Rattus norvegicus: one gene and its partners. The protein of the gene in region 3 interacts with the protein of the main gene of each other region in a pairwise test. Links are inferred from orthologs where the notes say so. Each region holds a gene or a part of one and is shown on either strand. Other genes may lie near its edges.

Region 1 (4,841 bases), on a different chromosome or scaffold from region 3:
CACGTCCTCTGTCCAACAGGCTGTGTGACACAGACACACCCTGAGGGGATTCTGTCTCAATCCATGGCCAAACACACTTGGGATAAACATTAATTCAAGTTAGAATGAGTTAAGGATTCCCGTAGGTGGGGGCAGGATGGTAAGCTTCTCAGAGGTTAACGTTCAATCTGGCCCCTGACAAGTACACAGGATTTTGACCCGTGAAGTGATATGGATGGAGTCTTGAGCAGGATAGATGTGAGGTGTTGGGAGTGGCTGCCTCAGTTGTGTGCTGGCCTGAGGTCTTCATCTGGATTCAGCAAACACAGGGTCACGTGGGCATCCCAGACACCATCTTGTCCCTCTCCTTTCCTCAGTTTTCACCTTACCCATTCCGCTCCAAACTTGTTCTCCCTTTCTTCCCTTGCCCCCACCCCAATATCCACCAGAAGTTACTATTTCCGACGTTCTCTTCAAGTGAGCTGTTGCTACATTGTGGTCTTAAGACATACTTCATGACTGGACACTGGGACTCACAGAGACTCTTCTGTTTCCCAGGCATTGGGAGCAAAGGTGCACACTGTATTTCTTCACTGAGAAAAACCCAAAATGCTGCAGCCCAGCATGTAGCTGTTCAGCGTAGATTCTTTACTTGGAGCCGACTCCCAACACTCTAAAGCTAAAACAACAAAAGACTGCACTTTCTTCCCAGAGGCCAGAAGCAGAGGTAAGAGACCTTAGCTAGCTTTTCCCTCAAGACACTGGTAATCGAATGACATGTCACAACCGACAGCTTTCTGCCTTAATAAGGAGAGGACAGCACTCAGGCCTTTGTGATCCAAGGGAATGAGAGATACGTGGAGAGATCCCAAATGGAGGTTTTGTGGTTGTTTTGGCTTTAACGCTGGAGATCTAACCTAGTGCTTCATACTTGCTAGGTAAGGGCTCTAAGGCTTCTAGGCCCCCGCCTGAAGTTTTAAGAGGTTCACTTTGCTGCAAAAAATAAAGATAGTAAGTAAGTAAATAAGGCAGTGGCTTATCCAGGAATGTCTGCTGTGTCTATAGAACCCCGAGCCACACAGAGGCCTATTCCCTACATTCCTCCCACATCGAGAAACTCTACAATGCCAGTACCTAAACCACAGGTCTTACCTCACCCAGGCCATCGGGGTGCTGACCGTGGGAGGGGCATGGGAAAGGGTCCCACTTTATTCCCCTTGTTCTTGGTGGGGTGTCATGGCAGAGTGTCTGCAGAGACTTCACCTGGATCCCTGGGGGTCACACCTGGGGCTCACCTAGCACAGGAGACAGAGACCACACATTAATGGAGACCTATTCTCAACCTCAGCTCTTCAGGAAATAGACTTGTTATCAGTGTAGCCCACCTGAACTTATCTGGTCTAGGCTCTAGTGGGTCAGAAGATTGTGGATAAAAAGGCCACAGATTCTCAGCCCTGAAAGGAACTTAGGACCAAAGACAATGAGTTCTGAGGAGTCTGGTACCTTCAGTTCACAGCCCTCAATGGAGCGCCCTCTGAATCCCGGTATATAAGCCTCTCAGAACATCACCTAGTTGTGAGGTGGTGACCCATAATTTTAATTCCAACACTCAGAGGGCAGAGGCAGAAGATGTCTGAGTTCAAGGCTAGCCTGGTCCACAGAGCCAAGGCTACACAGAAAACACTGTCCCAACTTCCCGTCCCCCACCCCCCCAAAAAAATCCCCAACCAAAACCAAAACCAAAACCCAAATACATCACCTGACCATTGCACAGAATTTTATCCCTATAAAAAGCTTTCTTTCTCAGAAGAACAATATAACAGTATGATTTGGGAAACCAACATTTTAGAATGTTTTGTTGTTATGATATATCGGGTGCGGGGCGGAGGGGGGGGTGTCATTCTCCCTCCACTATCTCTATTCGTGCCCCTGGGGGTTGTTGTTGTTTTGGGTTTTTTTTTTTTTTTTTTGAGGAAACATCTATCAACTATGGGAGTTCTAGTTGAGGTAATTTCTAGAAGTAGTTATAAATAAAGCACTTCACATTTGAAAGCGGGACAGACTTTCTGTTCCTAGGGTCAGAAAGGTCCAATTATAACAAGAGGCAAAATTTCAGATTATCTGAGGCCTACCTAGGTAGATGAATCAACAAACCAGGACTCTGAAGAAAACCCTTGAAATCCCACCTTCCCTTTCCAGGAAAACAGTACTTCCCGGGGTCCCCCTCACAACTCTTAGGTAAAAGAACCCCTCTCTTGGTCTGGCTTATTCCTTGGAAGGAGGAAGCAGGCTGAAGGAAGTGTGCGCAGGCTAAAGGTAGGTAGTGGGGGAAAAAAAAAAAAACCACCAAACATGGGGGTTTGTTTAAACTATCAACAGGGAGTTGGGAAGGGGTGTGAGGTCAAGAGCTACTGGATGCAGGATGGGAGAGGGATTACATCTTTCTGACAGCCCACTTGTTCTTTAAAATATTAAACACATTATCGGATGGTCCATTGAGGGGGATTATATTGGGTGGGATGGGGGAGGTTATGTCTGAGGTAGGTAGGGTTGGGTACAGGCACCAGATGGAGGTATGAGATCTGAAAATGTATACGAAGCCTTGTGAGAAGGTGGGCTGCAAGAAGCATGCAAAGGCTGGGTTTCAGGACCGCAGAAGCCTTTGGGCCATTGAGCAGAGAAGGAGGTGACTGTGGGCGTTTCAGAGGATTGGGAGCGTGAGGGGGTTCTGCGGGATCCCGAAGACCCGAAGGTGCAACTAGGGGGAGGGAAGAGGGTGGGGTCTGGGAAGCGAAAGGCAGAACTGGTAACAGGAGGTTTTTCTAGATACCCAGACGGAACGCGGAGGTTGCGGCCGCGCTCCGAGCCTGGATCCCCGCCCCCAGCCCCCGGTCCGCCGCTAGCCTGTCTGCTTAGGGCTTTCTAGGGTAGGAACGGAGACTGCGGCGCGGCACGACCGGGCCTCGGTAGAGCCGCCTGGTCCCCGCCCCGCTGCGCCCCGACTCACATCGCCCCGCGGCCCGGGCGGCGCCGGGCCCCGCTCCCGGGTCCCGCTGCAGCAGCCGCCGCCCGCCCGCAGCTAAGGCCTCCCAGCCCCGCCCCGCTCCGCGCCCGCGGGGTCGGAGGTCGCTGGCTGCACCAACGAGACGCTGCGAGCGGACCGACCCCAGCCGGGGCAACCGGCGCGCAGCCTAGAAGGTCCCTTTGGAGGACTTTGCAGTCCGGGACAGAGAGCATGCGCAGACGCCAGAGGGCGCTCGGGGCCGGTGACTAGGACTCCTGAGGGGCGTGGCCTGTCTGGAGAAGGGGCGCGGGGCGGGATAGGGCGGAGACAGAGGTAGGAGCAATCTCTCAAGCCGAAGAGAATCACGAAAGATAGCAAAGCGGATCTGAGGAGTCTGGACCAGACTCGGAATCCAGGAGGGGAAGTGGTGAGGGACCGACCACTGGGGACAAAGGGGAGGGCTGTAAAGGCCCGCAGAGGGGGCGGGGCTTAAGCCGGGGGTGGGCCGAGAGACAGTTCGCAGCTTGGCGGTACACGGGTGCCTGTGCCCTTCCTGTCCTGAGACCCACGAGCGCTTTCCTTGGTCTGAAGCACCTGCCTGGTTGGGACCGCTTGGGGGCGTGGCCGACGGCAGGTCTCTGCTGTACAGCGTTGTCGCTTAGCCACGCAGAGACCCTTTCGGAATCTTGATTCCCACTCGTAAACCTGCAGCTAGACAGAGACCCCCAAGAGAACTCGGTAAGCACACGTTGAGCCTCTGCCTTGCAGGTGGACCGGCCAAGTTCTAGGAAGAATTGGGGGCTATGCCTAGAGGCCACTTTGTGAAAGCCTACACTCCCCTCCCCCTTTTCCTCTGATTCGGGGACACCTTCCCTTGTCTACTGCTCTCCAGCCTCTGGGGCCTCTCATCCTTCCACGAACCGGTGTTGTTTGGGGAAGGTCGACCCCCCCGAATCTAGTTGCACCTGAGGGGCTGGGGAGCCAGTGTTTGGCCTGTTCTTACCTGAAAGGAGAGAGGAAGGGAACTATGGGAGGAAACCAGAACGTTAGTAAGATGGGGTCTAATGGTAACGGGAGGTGAATTAGAGTAGGGGACAGGAAGGATGTTGGGTAGAGGTGTGTTTTCTGATACTTGTTGCTGGACAGTTCCATGCAAACCAGAACTAATCTGGAAGAGAGTCCCAAGTCTTCTGGGGCCCCAGAACCTACCCCACACACAACCTTGTTGCATGGAGCTGAACCAGTGCTAAGGGGTGGGACTGTTTCTAGCCCTGAATGTGGATAGTTCATTCTGGCCACCTTCCACAGGAAACCTGGTGTGAGGGACAGAACAGGAAGGAAGCAGGTGGGTGTGGAGCGGGGAATAGGGAAGGGTGGCGCTGGGTATAGGAAGGGGCACTGAGGGAGTGCTTGGAGTTGGAAGGTACTCTAAACTGAGCCTGCTGGCCATCCCCAAAGCCCAGTGATTTACTGGCAGTCCTCCTAAGCCCTGCTGTCAGACTCCATCCCAGTTCGAGAATCGTCTCAGACACCGAATAAACATATAAGTTTGCCTTGGCTACCCCCACCCCACACAGCCCAACCCCTTCACCTAGAATCCGTGTACATCCTTGTTCTCCCCGGCTACTGTGTTTCTTCTTGTTCACTAGCCTGGGACCTCAGTGAGAGCAGGGCCCCTCTTTTCCCTACTTCAGTAGACACTGTGATCCCAAATAGACTGTGGCTAACTACACAGGTTGCACTGGGACTGTCCATTAAAATTACTGCTGTGAAGCTGGCTGTGGTGGTGCATGCCTTGGATCTCAGCCCTTTGGAGGTAGAGGCAGGAGGATCAGGAGTTCAAAGCCAGCCTTGGCTC
Region 2 (5,003 bases), on a different chromosome or scaffold from region 3:
TTCCGTGGTGACTGAGAACAGACTCTGGTGTCCACTAGATTTCCCTGTTACTTACAACCATTCCTTCAGGCCTGGCCTCAGTCCTGGTCTCCCGGAGGCTAGCTGTCATTCCTCCATCCTCTAAAAGGCGGGCACAGGGAGACAGGCATGGAGGAGGGAGGGGCGGCTGTCACCTGGAGCAGTCCAGACCCGGGGGCAACCTGCACAAGGGCAGGGACTTGCCAGACAGGGCTGTTTAAGTAGCTTTATCTGGCTGGGGTGGAGGGGGTGGGGGGCATGAGGGAGTGTGAGGAGATTGTGGGGAGATGAAGCTGCAAGAAGCCAGATTAAAAGGCCTCCGGAGCGCACGTTGGCAGCCGCCAAGAGCTGCCGTTGGACGCTCTCCCGTTTCATCTGTCTGTACACCTCCCAGCAGCGAGCGAACGCGAGGCTGGGTTCAGGAGGCGCTCGATAAATTCTCATTGACAGGAACACTCAGAAGCGTCACCTCCCAGGCTGTGGCCTGTGTGCCTGGGGGCGGGGGGAGAAAGGCCAGCGTGGGAAGTGAAGCCAGCACAGTACTGGCGGGCTGCACTTGGCCAGGCCGAGGAGATCTGAGACTCCATGGGGGCAGAAATTAAAGTGAGTCGGCAGGTCTGCCGCACAGCCACCAGGCTGAAATGTCACCTCAGACGAGGTTCTCTGCAGGTTAAACATGCTCTCTCGACCCGAGATCCCAGGAGAGGGAGGGAGAGGGAAAGACGTGGGCTAGGCCTCATAGAGGGATTGTGGCTGTTGCCACAACACGGGTAATTAACGTGCTCCCCCCACCAGAAGGCTCCTATCCAACCCCACCAGGCATTGGAGTAACCCAGGCTGGGCATTCCAAGGCTGCAGATGGGGCCAGGAAAAACCGGCCTTGCTGGCTCACTCCACAAGCCCCTGCGGGTTCCTGGGGGCAAGGGGGAAAAGTGGCAACTGGCTATTATTACACAGTGAGTCTCTAGGAAGGGGAGGGGGGGAACCAGCAGGGAGCCAAGGCTAGACCTCCTCCACGGCAGGGAAATAGACCACACCTGCCTGAAGGGTCAAGGCCAGCTGGGGACTCAGCGGGCTGGGGCTGATGGAGGGCCTGGAGGAGGTGCAGGCCCCTGGTCCACCACAAAGAGGCGCAGACCTCTTCTTCCCCCTTCCTCTGGCTAGAGGTGCAGAGTCCTGAGGTGGCTGCCTTTCTGCAAACCACACAGCCCTTTGAGATCTGCAGCTTCCAACTTCCTCCAGAGAGACAGGGAAGTTACTCACAGCCAGAGGCCTGCCTGCCTGCCAGCTCTGCCAAGAGCAACAGAGGCTTCCAAAGGGTCAAGCTTTTTCGGAACCTTCCTGACATTCCGACCCCATTAAAAACAGAATTGCCCCAGGTCATCCCCAAGGTTAGGGGGCCTGACAAGGCTTGGCTCCTAGTAATTTTAAAATGTTAAGTTTAAAGGAACTATATATATACACCCCCTTTCAACCCTAACCGGTCAGGATCCTAATAACTGCCCCCAACAGGTCAGGGCCTGATCTGGCCTCCTAGCCTTCCTGGTTCAGAACCTGCCCTAAGGCAGGCAGAACAGAGCCCAAAGCTAGGACAGGCCTCCCACCTCCTTTCCGAAGGCGGGGCTGACCCCGGGTCTCTGGCTGGCTGCTCACCAGCGCCTCCCCCCTCCCCCAGCCTCCTCCGCTCCTGCTGCCAGACCAGGCGACAAAAGCCAACCTTGTACCAAGCCATCAAGGCACCCCCCAGGAGGTGGTCAGGCGTGACCCGGTGCCTGTGAGAAGTGTTGAGCAAGCTGCTTCTGCACAGCAGAACCCGATCGGGTGAGCCTGCCAGCAACCCTGTTCCGGTCCACCCGGTGGGGCGTGACACCCAGCACAGCAGATGACACACGCTGCCAGTCGGAGCCTGTGCCCCGGCCCCCCTCACCTGTGGCGGGGCGACTGAGCGGCTGAGTCAGACACAGCCTGCGCCTCAGGTTCCCCGCCTGCGGGTGGGGGCGGCTGTAAACACAGGCTGAGCAACACTTAAGTAGCCAAGCTTAAGTAACACGGACGCCCAGGGAAGGCTGCTCGCCAGGGGGGGCCCTGTCTTCCTAGGGAAGAGGGGGTAAAACAGTCTCAGGCAAGAGACTGAGACACTGCCAAGCGCCCAGCCAAGACCTCCTGCCTTTGTCCCCTTTGCTGGAAATCGGCTTAGGCCCGATGCTCCCTCCTAGAGTGAGGCTGCGCCTTTTGTTCCGGCCCCCTTTACAAAAGGATCTTGTATTTTGCCCCCCCTCCATTTGGTGGTCCCGCTTTTTGTTTTCAAACCCCAACCTGTGTGGGCCCCAACCGCGACAGATAAGACACTGCAGGGGTCTAGCAAGGGTTTAGTGTGCTTTAAACGCATGGAGACAAAGGCTGGTTTGCAAGCACCAAACCGACCCAACTCGAGCTGGCACCCCCACCACGAGTGGCAGGTGCGCGGGGGCGCCCCTCGCTCGCTCCGGGCTCCGATACCCAGATCTGCGGCCCCTAGCCTGCTCCTCGCAGTCCTAAGCGGCCCCCTCCACCTCCCTGCGCTCGGAGAGGCGGGCAGCGGGGAGGGCAGCCCAGCTCCCGCTCCGCCTCCAAGAAGGGAATTTAATTAGCCTGCCGGAGAGGCGGCGGGCGACGAGGTGTCTCTGGTGCTGCAATATAATTGAATCGGCTCCACTCGGGCGGGCCACTCGCCGTCAGCGCGGCCGCGGGGGGCGGGGAGGCGCATCCAGGCGGAGCGGGAAGGGCCGGGCGGGGTCGCGGAGGCCCCCTGAACTGCCATCCCAGGCAAGGCGTCCCCCACACCGATCCAACCACCTGCCTGGGCACCCCCGCCCCATCCAAAGTTTTGCTTCAACCCCGAGCCCCGGAGCCGCCCCCGCACACTTCCCCGCGCACTTCCGCGGTCGCAGAGCTCGCTGCGCCCAGCGCGCGCGCGCAGCCGCGAGTGTGGCTTCAGGTCGGCCGCGCGCCCCGCGCTTCTCGTACCTCGCACCCGCGGGACCTGGCACCGGCCGTTGGCGCCCCTCCCGAGCCCACAAACTTGGGTAGGGGAAGAGCGAGGGAACCCCCGTCACCCCCCTACCCGCGCGCTCACCTTTCATGCCAGGGCCCCGCTGCTCCGCCGCGCCTGACACATGCCGGAGCCACCGTCGCCCGGGTTTGTCTGAACTGCTTATCTCACCCGGGGCTGTGCGGCGGCGGCTCGGCCGCTCGGGGAGGTGGAGCTTCCGGGGCCTGGGCCAAGAAACACCTGCTGCTGTCGCCGCTGAGGACACACCCAAGCGCAACGCCGCCCACTCCCCGGCCCCGGCTCGCTCCCGGCGCCCTGACCTCAGCCGGCGGGAGGTGTCGGGTTTCAGCCGCAAGCGCACGCGCGCGCACCGACGGACCGCCCGGAGCACCCAGCGCGGTCACAGCCCGCCGGGTAGGTGCCGCCCCCGCGCTCCTGGCGACCCGGGCTGGACAGTCGAGGGGGACCTCTTCGAGGCTTCGCGGGCCACTCATCTCCCAAGAGTAGAGAGGAGTGGCTTACAACACTCCTCTCCGCCTGCCATATCTGAGCCTCAAAGCCGCCTCCCCAAGCGCCTGGAACAGTGCCTGGCACCTGGCCACCCACTAAGAGAGGGGAGGGATAAACCCAGCGCTCAGGAGGACTTTCCTTGTGCTGAGTGGAGGGGACTACACAATATAGGCCGCTGGCCTCCCTCGCTCTCCAAGATGCCTGATCTATTACCGCAACTTTAAAGGATTTAATGTTAAGAGCTGGGGCCACGAGCCTCTGACCCAAAGTTTTGCAAAGTCTCCATCTTTAAGAAATTTTTGTGAAGGCCACACGGGGGGGGGGGGGGTCGAGTTCTTTAAAGAGCCCATGTTCGAGAAGCTTAAGTCCACGGAGGCGCCGCTGCGCCAGGGGCATCATTAAGTAGCTGGGGTTGCGGTCAGAGGCGAGGCCGCTGCCGCCGCCTCCAGAAACTGGCACAACCCACCGCGCCACCGGCCCCAGCGCACCGCCTTCCCATTCTTGATGCCCCCACCCACCCTACCTCACCCAGGCACTTCACCGGGATGACTCAGGGAGCGTCCTGAAATTCTTCGGCACCCACAGGCGGCGCGGAGAGGGACTGGGCCCCAGCGTCCCCGCCCCCAACGCGACCGGTCCCCAGGACGTCCCCTTCCCACCACCCGGGAGGCGCGGGGTTATAGGACAAGCCCGGCTGGGTCCCTCGGCCGGACCAAGCGCGCAAGGAGCAGCCAGAGAGATGGCAAGGTCGTCGCGAGGTCCCGGGGTCTCCCCCGCCCGCCCTCTCTACACTGCTCTCTAATGATCCTCCGCTTTCATACTTTCGAGCCTGGAGGCCACTGCACCTCCCCGGGGGGAGCACCTCAGCGCCGCTGCGGGTTTCAACTTTCCACGGCGGTGCCAGCCCCAAACCTGCCCCGGGACATGCCCGCGCAGTGCTCGGCAGGCGCGCGCTGCCTCCCCCGCCTTCCTCCCTCCCGCGCCAGCCGGGACAGCGCAGGGAGCGAGCGCGGGCGCCAGCACCCCCCGTCCATCTGTTCTCGATGACGCCGGCGGCGGGCAGCGCTCGGGGCCCGCGCCAGCAGAAGCCGCCGATGCCGCGGGGCGGGGGCGCACGCCGGGCCAGTCTTGCACAAGCCCCTGGCCGACCACAAACGACAAGGGAAACGGGCGGGCAAGGGCAGGCTGAGTTGCTGCTCCTACCTGCGGCCACCGGGTCCCTGGCCCTACACACGTTCCAAGCGGCCTTTGGTCCACGCGTTAGTTCGCGTCGCCCCCGGCAGCGTGGCCTATGCAAGTTTACGACGCTCGCGACCTCCGGGATGCACCCGGCTCCCCGGGAGTGGGGGCGGGGGGAGGCGCCTTCACCCGCTGGGAATCGTACGCAGGAGGGGGAGGGGGGACTGGGAGGTGTCAGGAGAAAGAAACAACTGGCCTCGAGCCG
Region 3 (4,834 bases):
GTTCCCCGCAGAGCATTCAGTGGAAGGTGGACTTAGCATTTCTGAGGTTTCATACGGGCACTGAAGCCTCTAGACAAGGAATCTGGTCTCCGCACACTTCCTCTTTCAGTGAGATGAGTCAGTAGTGCTTGCCTCTGAGGAATGCTGTGAGGCTTTTACAAATTACCTCAACTCTAAAATGCCTTCTAGCTGGGCACACATCTGGTTTCTCAGCTCTCGGAAGCCGAGGCAGGAAGACTGTAACTTCAGGACCAGCCTAGGCTACGTAGTGAGACTCGGTCTCAAAGGAAGGAAAGAAGGAAGGAGGGAGAAAGGGAAGGAGAGGTGGAGGAAAAGAGGGGAGGAAGGAGGGAAAGAGGGAAGGAGGGAAGGAGGGAAGGAAGGAAGGTGGCCACCCACTTAGACAGCACGAGCTGTTCCTCCTCTCCTTCAGCTCGTGTCCACATTTAACTCATTCCTTAATCTGGGGTTGTAGCTCAGTTGGTAAAGTGTTTGTCCGGCATGCAAGAGCCCTGGGTTCCATTCCTAACACCACAAAGAACAGATCTGGTGGCCCACACCTGGAATCCCCATACCCAAGGTCTTCCTTAGCTATAAATACCTAAGAGTTTCAGGCCAGCCTGGGACACACGACGTATTATCTCAAAACGACAAACAGGCAATCCAAGAAACAAAACGCAAAGTGTTCTTTTGGTTGATGGATCAATCGATCTTCGGAAACCTGTGCCTTGGGCTGGCTTCCAACCCGCTTCCGTAGCCCATGTTCTCCTCCAGACAGGCCTGAGCCACCATACTTAGTTCATTGTACCTCAGCTTGAATCTCCAGCTTCCAGGCCCACCCAGCTGAGTACCTGGCCCTCTCTTGGATAGAAACCTGCCTGTCAAATCTTGACACTCCCAATTTGGCAACACCCTCTCACAGCCCAACCGCTCACCACATAGCAGCTCTCACAATACGCCCGCCTCTCCACGGCATAGAAGTGCTGGCCTCGGAGCTGGGCCCGACAGGTAGAACACACGAAGCAACCAGTATGGAAGACACGGTCCAGGGCCACAACCCCAGCTCCATCACCAACCACATCGTCGCCACAGCCACCACACCGACCTGGGGACAGAGGGGAACAAGATCAGTCTCCACAGACCCAGGACACCGGATCCACTGTCCCCTCCCCGTCCCATCCTACCCAGCGGGTCAGCTCACCAAAGTACTCCCCACTGGGCGGGTGGTTCATGTCATGCACCAACTTCTTGGTCAGTCTCTCCAGCTCCTCCTCTGGAGGCTGGCTCAAGGGGCCCTACAGGGAGAAACAGGGCTTTGCAGTGCTGCTTCGACCTCACACACCGTAAGTAACCCACAAGCTCAGGAACCCTGAAATTTCCTCTGAGAATATCTCCCAGGCTGACAAGGGAAGGAAGCCCCTTCCCTTTGGACATCGTAATCCTTGACCTCTAAGTACCCTAAAACCACAACTGACTTATATTTATTTTTAAGAGCGTGTCTCATATGGCCTAGGCTGGCCTTGGACTCATTATGTAGCCAAATATCTTAATTTACTGATCCTCCTGCCTCTACCTCCCCCATGCTTTGTTTATACAGTGCTGGGTCTAGAACCTTGGGATTCCTACATAATAAAAAAGGACTCTACCGGGGTTGGGGATTTAGCTCAGTGGTAGAGCGCTTGCCTAGCAAACGCAAGGCCCTGGGTTTGGTCCCCAGCTCCGAAAAAAAGAAAAAAAAAAAAAAAAAAAAAAAAAAGGACTCTACCAACTCTCTACCAACTGAACTGCGTCTCCTAAAAACGGTATCTTAATCCCTCAGCCTCCACACCACCTAACCAACGGCCAGTTACCTACAATGACCAGGTACCACCGTGCCCACACCCCCTGGCTTACCTGAGGCTCATGCCCACCTCTTCTTCCTCCTCCTGCAGGGTTATGAACTCCAGCAGCTCCCTCCTTAACCCCTGGTCCTGGCTCTCGGTGGCTCCTATAGCCAGCTCCCCAGACTTCACCACGACCTGTCAGAGGAAAGTGGGGGCCTGGAAGAGGTCCAGAGGCCTGCGAAGCCCCCCGCCTGGGCAGTCCACAGCCTCTCACGGGTTGAGCCACCTTCACTTGAACAGGGAAAGCAGGACCAGCTGGAGTGCTCGCGGTAGCATAAGAGGCTGGAGTAGGTCCACCATAGGGAGATGCTGGGAGCATCGGGGCTGGAACAGCACCTCCGCTGGGTTTCAGGGAGCCTCCACGGTAAGCATGGGGTGGAGGAGCCTCAAAAGCCTGGGAAGACAAACAATGCACAAACAGTAAGGCCAGATCCAAGATCCATGCGCGCCAGGTGGAATCTCGGGAGCCATGACTTTTGTCAAGTTCCCATGGGTTAGGCCTAACAAGAAGGAAGTTCATGATTCCTTGAACCAGTTATTTATTAGTTGCAAAGAGGGTGGGCGGAGAGTGAAGAGGGCGGACTGAGGCTGAGAATCTACAAAAGAGAATCGGCTGACACAGGAGAGACAGAACACAGGAGATCACCTGTCTGTCTGGTCGCCTAGGTGCATGACTGCGACTCCCGTCCAGATCAGCCAGCATGCTGGTGAGCGAATCTATCTCAGCGTCCAGACTTCCAGGGTGGATGACTCCCCGGTCTGGAGGGAGCCCCTGAGACAGAGCCAAAACAGGAAGAACAAATACCGATCACAACCCCTACCTAGCCTTCTCTCACCTTGATCCTACCCTCACCTCCAATTCTCACCTGCAGGCGCTGGGCTGCTCCATGGGATCCCACCCAAGTAGGCCCCCGATCTTCCGGTACCCCCGGAGGCTGATAACATTGTTCAGGTGGGAGGGGGCAAAAGTTGACCCTGGGGTGAGGCTGGAGCGCTAAAGGGGGAGACGGGAGGTGAGAGCGGAGAAGGGTACCCTGGTTAAAGCCGCCTTTCTCAGGCAGCTCTCCTTCACGTACCTGGGAGTCTGGGGATGGACCAAGAGTTAGGGAAACTTGCACAAGAGCAAGGGACTCTGGCTTGGGGAAGGGACAGCAGGAAGCAGATAGGCAAGGAAGAAAAGGTTAAGGAAAGTGGCCAATGGCTCTTCTGCCACTCCCGGGTGTGGGAAAGGGGAACACTTACTTGCTCCATGGGCCGTTGGCGGACCCAGGGTTCCTCTGGGCAGCGCTCTCCCCTGAGGGACTCTGGAGGGCTCTGGCTGCTTCGGGGGAAGCCAGGTGGGCCCGGACATGGTCTGGAATAGGGTTGCTCCACTCCAGACAGAGGTCAGGACCCCCACAAGCCCAGCGGCCGGGCCCTTGAGCCCCTTCCCTCCCTTTCGGCCCCACGCCCCGTTTGGGACTCCAGCAAAGAAACTTTTTCTGGCTTTTTTTTTCTTCCCTTCCTCCCCAATTTTGGAGAGGACCACGCCCCCTGACGTCACCACATTCCTGGTGAGGGTCACGTGGTCCCCCAAGCCTTATTCTACGATTCTTCCTTTCTCTGGCCCCCTCCTGTTAAGTGAGGACCGCCCTCCTCCGGAGCCAAGCCTAGGGTGGGCTGCAGGCCTCTCCGAGAGGCTCTGGTCCAGCAATTCTCTCAGATCCCTGCCCCAGTCCTGCACGTGGCAGCCTCTTGGCCGGGACTCTGAAAGTCTCCACCCCCTCATAGATCTCTCCCTTCCCACCCGGCTCCCTCTCATCTACCCACCAGCAGTGCTCCACCAGCCCATAGTGTTTTGGTCTTTTATTTATGGTCAGTAGTTAGAAAAATAAAACAAAACACAAACATCACCACCCAAGGAAGTCGGGGAGAGGGAGGTGGTGCGTCTGTGGCCAGGATGGGGACACTGAGGTAGCCTAGAGTCACAGAAGAGACCAGCCCCTCTGGTCAAGGCACCAGTGAAGGAAGCGTAGGCAGACCAGGAACAGGGCCGCAATGTCCTCCCCTACAATGGGGCAGCCACCTAGAATTAGTGTACTATGTCCATTCGCCACCCAAAGGAGACCAGGGTCCCCTTAAAACATCATCAAAAGGGCAGGGCCCATTGGGGGCGGGGGAGGGCGTCCCTTGTTGAGAATGGGCCTGGGCCCTCTCTATCTATCCAACACTGTATGCACAGGCATCAGAGATCAGTACAGGTAACCGGAGTGACACCATGAATAAGAAGGGTGGGACCCAGATCACGGCTTAGGGTCTCCAGCAGTGCCAGGTATCTAGGGTAGCGGGCAGGATCAGCAGGAGGTCGAGGAAGATACAGGAAGGTAAGGGCTGTGGTGGGTCCCTCCTCTCCATCCCTTCCTTCTGGTCCCCCAGGGCCTCCTCCTGTGCCTCGTCCCTGCTGGGCACGCACCAGGGCATTGGCACTGCAAGCTAGAGCCTCTGCCTCTTCGTCTCCTCGACCACCATTCACAAAGTCCCCTTCCTCCTCCTCAGGCTCCCCAGCCTCAGCCCCTTCACCCCACACCACCTCTTGCACCTCTGCCCGGATCCTGAGTTGACTCAACAGGGCCCGGAGCCTTCCCTCTGCTGCCCCAGGAGCCTCTCTGGGCCCCAAGCACAGAAAGATCCGGAGCCGGGCACTGTGCCAGGCAGGCACCATGCTTAAGATGGTAGCCATCTGCAACAGAAAAAGGCCACAGACGTCCACGTATCCAGGTCCACCCCGGGGCCTCAACAGATTCAAGGGCCATACGTCCACATGATGTAGCTGAGCGCTGCTACCGGACCCCCGGCTTAGCCGCTCCGGGGGCAAAGCCCCACAAGCTCGGGCGAGAACCACATTCTTGTTCATCTTGAGAGCATCTGCCACGGTGGCCACGTAGTCCTGGGGACTGAGAGCCCTGGGGCTC
Region 4 (4,639 bases), on a different chromosome or scaffold from region 3:
GTGTATACGCCCACACACAGACATACTCACATACATAATTAGAATAAATCATTAAAAAAAAAATAACGTCTGTTGGAAATAATTTACCTCCTGCTATTCTCGCTAACGCTTTTGTTCTGGTCCGATGTTGTTCTTTTCTCTCCCAAGATGAAGGGTGGCCCCGCTTTTAGAGCCAATTTCTCAGTGAGCTGGATCAGCGCATCACAATTTACCATTATAATGCACATCAGGAGGAGCATTCCTTACGGTCTCCTCATTACCGTCACCTCACTGGAAAAATTGGGACGCCTTCACTGACTTCTTAGTTTGGTTAAAAAGAGTTTATAAAATTCTTTTACATCCATTCATTGGTTAAATTAACTGATTAAATTAAATTAAATTTAATTAAAAACTCATGGGGCTGGAGAGATGGCTCAGTGGTTAAGAGCACTGGCTGCTCTTCCAGAGATTTCTGGGTTCAATTCCCAGCAACCACATGTTGGCTCACAACCATCTGCAATGGAATCTGATGCCCTCTTCTGGTGTGTCTGAAGAGAGCGACAGTGTAGTCACATAAAAATAAATAAATCTTAAAAAAATTCATAAAAGAACTTAACAGTGGGCTCAGAGGGAATCTCTAAGACAATTTTATTAGCGTTTCAGAGAAAACCGCTGACTTCTGACGGTTTCTAGCTGGCCAAGGCCCCAACAAGGGAATCTGACGTCTTTGCTATGAAGCTGACAAGGTCAAACATGGGGTGGCCTATGAGGGTGAGGGGAGGCGAAGACCTGGGCTGGCTTTGGTGCTCTAGGGGTAACAGCTTGCGAAGTCAAGTTGCACCATCTCTGCCAGAGCTGAAAGGCTTCAATTTCCTCTCTGTGACTCTTCACCCAAGAAAGTCTTCATGCGGGGCGGCATGAGCCTGGGCGGAAACGCCGTAATTCCTGGCCAATTCCTGTCCCTGGAACTTACTGAATGGGCCACTTGGGCAGCGGTACGGGGGAGGGGGTCCTGCTCTTTGACTGAGGTCTCCCCAGGACGGCGAGGCTCCATGGAAACCCAGAGCTCTCTCAGAAAAGGATATCTCTAATGGGTGACACCCTGTCCCGTCCGTAAATCTCGGTTTACCCAATGAACAACGGGAGTGACTTGATGGTATCTGGAGCCTCTCTGGGTCCTGCTCTGTTTCCAGGCTGGGGAGTGGGTTCAGGCTCCCAGCTGACTGAATTCACAGTTCTCGTGGTCCTGGACTTTTGGGAAATCATCCAAATATACAGAGAATATCTCTCTTGTGCCTGTTCGGTCTGAGGGGGACACGTGGCTCCCCGCACCTGCTTCTACTTGGGTACAATTGTGCTTTGAGTGCAGAGCTGGGGGGCTTCCAGGAGACAGGAAGCTGCTCAGAAGCCCCAGAGCTAGGAGTGGGTGAGGAAGGCAGTGTGCGTCACGGAGCTCGTGGCCCGGACTGTGGTTGGTAGACTTAGAGGCCCTAAGGCTTGGAGCCAGTGGTGGTCAGCACAGCCCTCCGTGGTCTGCAGAGCCTGCTATTGCTTTACGTGAGTGTCTGTCCTCTTTTTCTCTATCCTGGGTTCCAATCTGAGAAGTCATCCTAGGTTCCTATTGAGAGCTTTGTCCAGGTGGATATGCTAGGATTCCTCCTCTGGGTGTTTGAAACGAGCTTCTTCTATATGGCTCACGGTAGGCTGGTCAGGAATGGCTGGTGTGAGCTGTGTGTCTGGCTATGTCCTGGTTTGGGGTGCCTGGCCGTGAGCACTTTGGCTGGTGGTGGTCTGGCTTAGATGGCTGTGGGCTCTGAGTATTCATGTCCTGCAGGTAAAGCAATCACTGTCTTCCCACCAACCCCACACCCATTGATTCTCACCTTCTGGTCTGCCATGGTGCAAATCAGATAGCAGTCCCTGGCAGATTCAGTTCACGACCCCGACATACTGCCAATAGGTCTTCCTCTGTGGTAGGCTAAGTGGGAAGAAAATATAGTCTGGGAGTGCCTGGCCATCTTTCTGTGGCTTCAGTTCCATGTAGAAGTACTTCCTGGCTGTCCCTCAGTCCAAGGCCCCGCAGATGGGGATGCCTGGGGAAGGGGGTGGCTGTATGGACAAGAAGGGGTGAGGTGATCATAAGCAGGGCTCTGACTGCACAGACTGATTCCCAGGTCATCCTTGGCTTGCGGGTGAGCTTAGGAAGTGGCTGCTGGGGCAGGGTATAGAGTGGGAGACAGGACAGTAGGTGACCATGAGGAGAGAGAGGCCTTTGTCCTTCCTTGATTACTACATCCTCCTGGTTCCAGAATTCTGTCCACAGTCTCCTCCACTTTCTCAGCCCTGCATTGACTCTGCTCTGACCAGGGAGGAAGCCATTTAGGGATAAACCGGGACTTCTCCACTCTTCTGGGCTTTTCGTTTTCTGCTTTTTCATCAACCCCGCCCCCTGGTGCTCTCTCTGGGGGGTATGAGAGCCACTCGGGGGTACACTACTTGGGGGGTGCTGCTCTGCTGTTCATCTCCAAACCCCTAGGCAGCCTAGGGGTTCGGTGGGAGCATCTCCGGTGTCTGAAGCTATTCGCCATGGAGACTTCTGGAGCTCCTTCTGCTTCTATGTGGGTAGGTGCCAGGGCTCATCTGTCCCTGGTGTGTGATGTGCCTCCCCTGGTCTCACATATCACAGTTGTGGACATTGAGCACCTCCCCCCCACTTTTTTTTGTCCGATTTTGTCCACTTGTCTGGACTCTTGGGTAAGTTCTGTGAAGATGAGTGTCCGGGCCACACCAGCTGGCAGGATATGGTTTCTCTGCCCAGCACGAGTCTGGTAAAGGAGCAGCTTGGAAAGAAGGAAGGGGCCAGGTCCATAGACATTTGGGGCGCAGTGGCTGTGAGAGGCCTGGGGATGGGTTGTGAGAAATCTGGGCTGAAGTAGATAGAAAGTGCCATTAACATGGTCAGGTGGGCATGGGGAGTGTCTGTGGCTGTGTGAACTTGTGGAGCTCCTCCCCAACAGGCTCCCTGGTGCCCTGCTTCTACCAGAAGGGCATGGGGCCCGCGCATGTTCCCAAGAGAACCGTGCTCTTCCAGCGGGAAAGGACTGGTCTGACCTACCGGGTGCCTGCGCTGCTCTGCGTGCCTCCCAGGCCTACCCTGCTGGCCTTCGCAGAACAGCGACTTAGCCCTGATGACTCCCATGCCCACCGCCTGGTGCTACGGAGGGGCACGCTGACCAGGGGCTCAGTGCGGGTGAGTGCTAGGTGCTAGGTGCAGAGGAAGCAGCCCAGATCGATCGATATCCCTGGAGACTGAGGTCAGGCTCCAGATGTCTTGACCAGCTGCTTCTCTTCCCTTAGTGGGGCGTTCTGAGTGTACTGGAAACTGCAGTACTGGAGGAGCACAGGTCTATGAATCCTTGCCCCGTGCTGGATGAGCACTCGGGTACCATCTTCCTCTTCTTCATTGCTGTGCGGGGTCACACACCGGAGGCCGTGCAAATCGCCACTGGCAAGAACGCTGCTCGCCTCTGCTGTGTGACCAGCTGTGACGCTGGCCTTACCTGGGGCAGCGTGCGGGATCTCACTGAGGAAGCCATTGGTGCTGCATTGCAGGGTAGGTGACATCTGATGTGTGGGATGGGATGGGTGGGGGGCGGTAGGGGGTCGAGGGGTAGACTGGGTAGGGGCCGGATAGGGGAAAATGGGCGTGGACTCTAGTGGTCTTGGGCTTGTCTCTAACATAGGTTCACCAAGCACTTGGTGAACCATTCTGCCTTTCTTATCCCCAGCTTCCAGCCCCGCCTCCTCTGCGAGCAATGACCTAACATTGTTGGCAGGACTGTCTGGTATTTCCCAAGCACCAGGCTAATAGGTGTTGGCCAGCTTCTTCATACCGCCTGCTGGCAGGGCTAGCAACTTAAGCCCACCAGAGGCTCTCCTGGTCTTGGTCTCTGATGAGGGCTAAATTTATCTTTTATTTCCAAACCCATTTTTTTTTTTTTGCTTCCTCTTCATCCAGCTCTGGTTTCTAGGATTCAGTCTCTTTTTCCACCCCTGCAGTCCCTACTCCCCAGGAACTGTCTACTGCTCTCCCCTATCACCCTGACCCCTGCTGGTTGGCAGTGCCCCTAAGGGTACAGGACTGGGCACGTGAGTGCTACAAAGAGGAATATGGCAGGTTCTGGGAGGGAAACGGGGAAACAGGACTGTCTTAGTTAAAGTTTCTATTACCATGACCAAAAAGCAGGTTGGGGGAGGAAAAGGTTTATTTGGCTTACACTTCCAGATCATAATCCCTCATTGGATGGCATTGGGACCGGAACTCAAGCAGGGCTTGAACCTAGAGGCAGGAGCTGATGCAGAGGCCATGGAGGATGCTGCTTATTGGCTTGCTTTTCATGATTTCCTCAGCCTGCTTTCTTATGGAACCCAGGATCACCAGTCCAAAGATGGCACGACCCATCATGGGCTGGGCCCTCCCCCATTGATCAGTAGTTGAGAAAATGACTTATAGCTGGGTCTCTTGGTAGCATTTTCTCAACTGAGGCTCCTTCCTCTCTGATGACTCTAGTTTGTGTCAATTTGACACACCAAACCAGCCAGCACAAAAGCTCATCCAAAACCCTCATCCGGGCCCTCCTCCCTCCACGGCTGTTGGGCA

What was found.
Region 1: the proteins of Trip6 (region 3) and Frs3 interact in binary tests that used the Homo sapiens proteins (3 or more experiments, as listed by UniProt). The two-hybrid records come from large-scale screens. The link is inferred for Rattus norvegicus from reciprocal best matches to the Homo sapiens genes TRIP6 and FRS3.
Region 2: the proteins of Trip6 (region 3) and Gse1 interact in binary tests that used the Homo sapiens proteins (3 or more experiments, as listed by UniProt). The link is inferred for Rattus norvegicus from reciprocal best matches to the Homo sapiens genes TRIP6 and GSE1.
Region 4: the proteins of Trip6 (region 3) and Neu4 interact in binary tests that used the Homo sapiens proteins (3 or more experiments, as listed by UniProt). The two-hybrid records come from large-scale screens. The link is inferred for Rattus norvegicus from reciprocal best matches to the Homo sapiens genes TRIP6 and NEU4.

The regions. Positions count from the first base shown.
Region 1 is NC_086027.1:20,791,743-20,796,583, forward strand, and holds the start of Frs3 (fibroblast growth factor receptor substrate 3), read right to left. Parts: upstream 3,081-4,841; 5' UTR 2,987-3,080; intron 2,973-2,986; exon of another isoform or gene 1,365-2,972; intron 1,275-1,364; 5' UTR 1,132-1,274; intron 1-1,131. UniProt on the Homo sapiens protein: Adapter protein that links FGF and NGF receptors to downstream signaling pathways. Involved in the activation of MAP kinases. Down-regulates ERK2 signaling by interfering with the phosphorylation and nuclear translocation of ERK2.
Region 2 is NC_086037.1:65,492,861-65,497,863, reverse strand, and holds the start of Gse1 (Gse1 coiled-coil protein), read right to left. Parts: upstream 3,205-5,003; 5' UTR 3,141-3,204; coding exon 3,134-3,140; intron 1-3,133.
Region 3 is NC_086030.1:25,021,508-25,026,341, reverse strand, and holds the start of Trip6 (thyroid receptor-interacting protein 6), read right to left. Parts: upstream 3,384-4,834; 5' UTR 3,235-3,383; coding exon 3,126-3,234; intron 2,878-3,125; coding exon 2,750-2,877; intron 2,656-2,749; coding exon 2,530-2,655; intron 2,278-2,529; coding exon 1,894-2,277; intron 1,296-1,893; coding exon 1,202-1,295; intron 1,106-1,201; coding exon 936-1,105; intron 1-935. Other genes in the region: Slc12a9 (solute carrier family 12 member 9), read right to left, coding at 4,108-4,834. UniProt on the Homo sapiens protein: Relays signals from the cell surface to the nucleus to weaken adherens junction and promote actin cytoskeleton reorganization and cell invasiveness. Involved in lysophosphatidic acid-induced cell adhesion and migration.
Region 4 is NC_086027.1:101,842,865-101,847,503, forward strand, and holds the start of Neu4 (sialidase-4), read left to right. Parts: upstream 1-1,396; 5' UTR 1,397-1,536; exon of another isoform or gene 1,537-2,947; coding exon of another isoform or gene 2,948-3,028; coding exon 3,029-3,229; intron 3,230-3,336; coding exon 3,337-3,592; intron 3,593-4,639. UniProt on the Homo sapiens protein: Exo-alpha-sialidase that catalyzes the hydrolytic cleavage of the terminal sialic acid (N-acetylneuraminic acid, Neu5Ac) of a glycan moiety in the catabolism of glycolipids, glycoproteins and oligosacharides.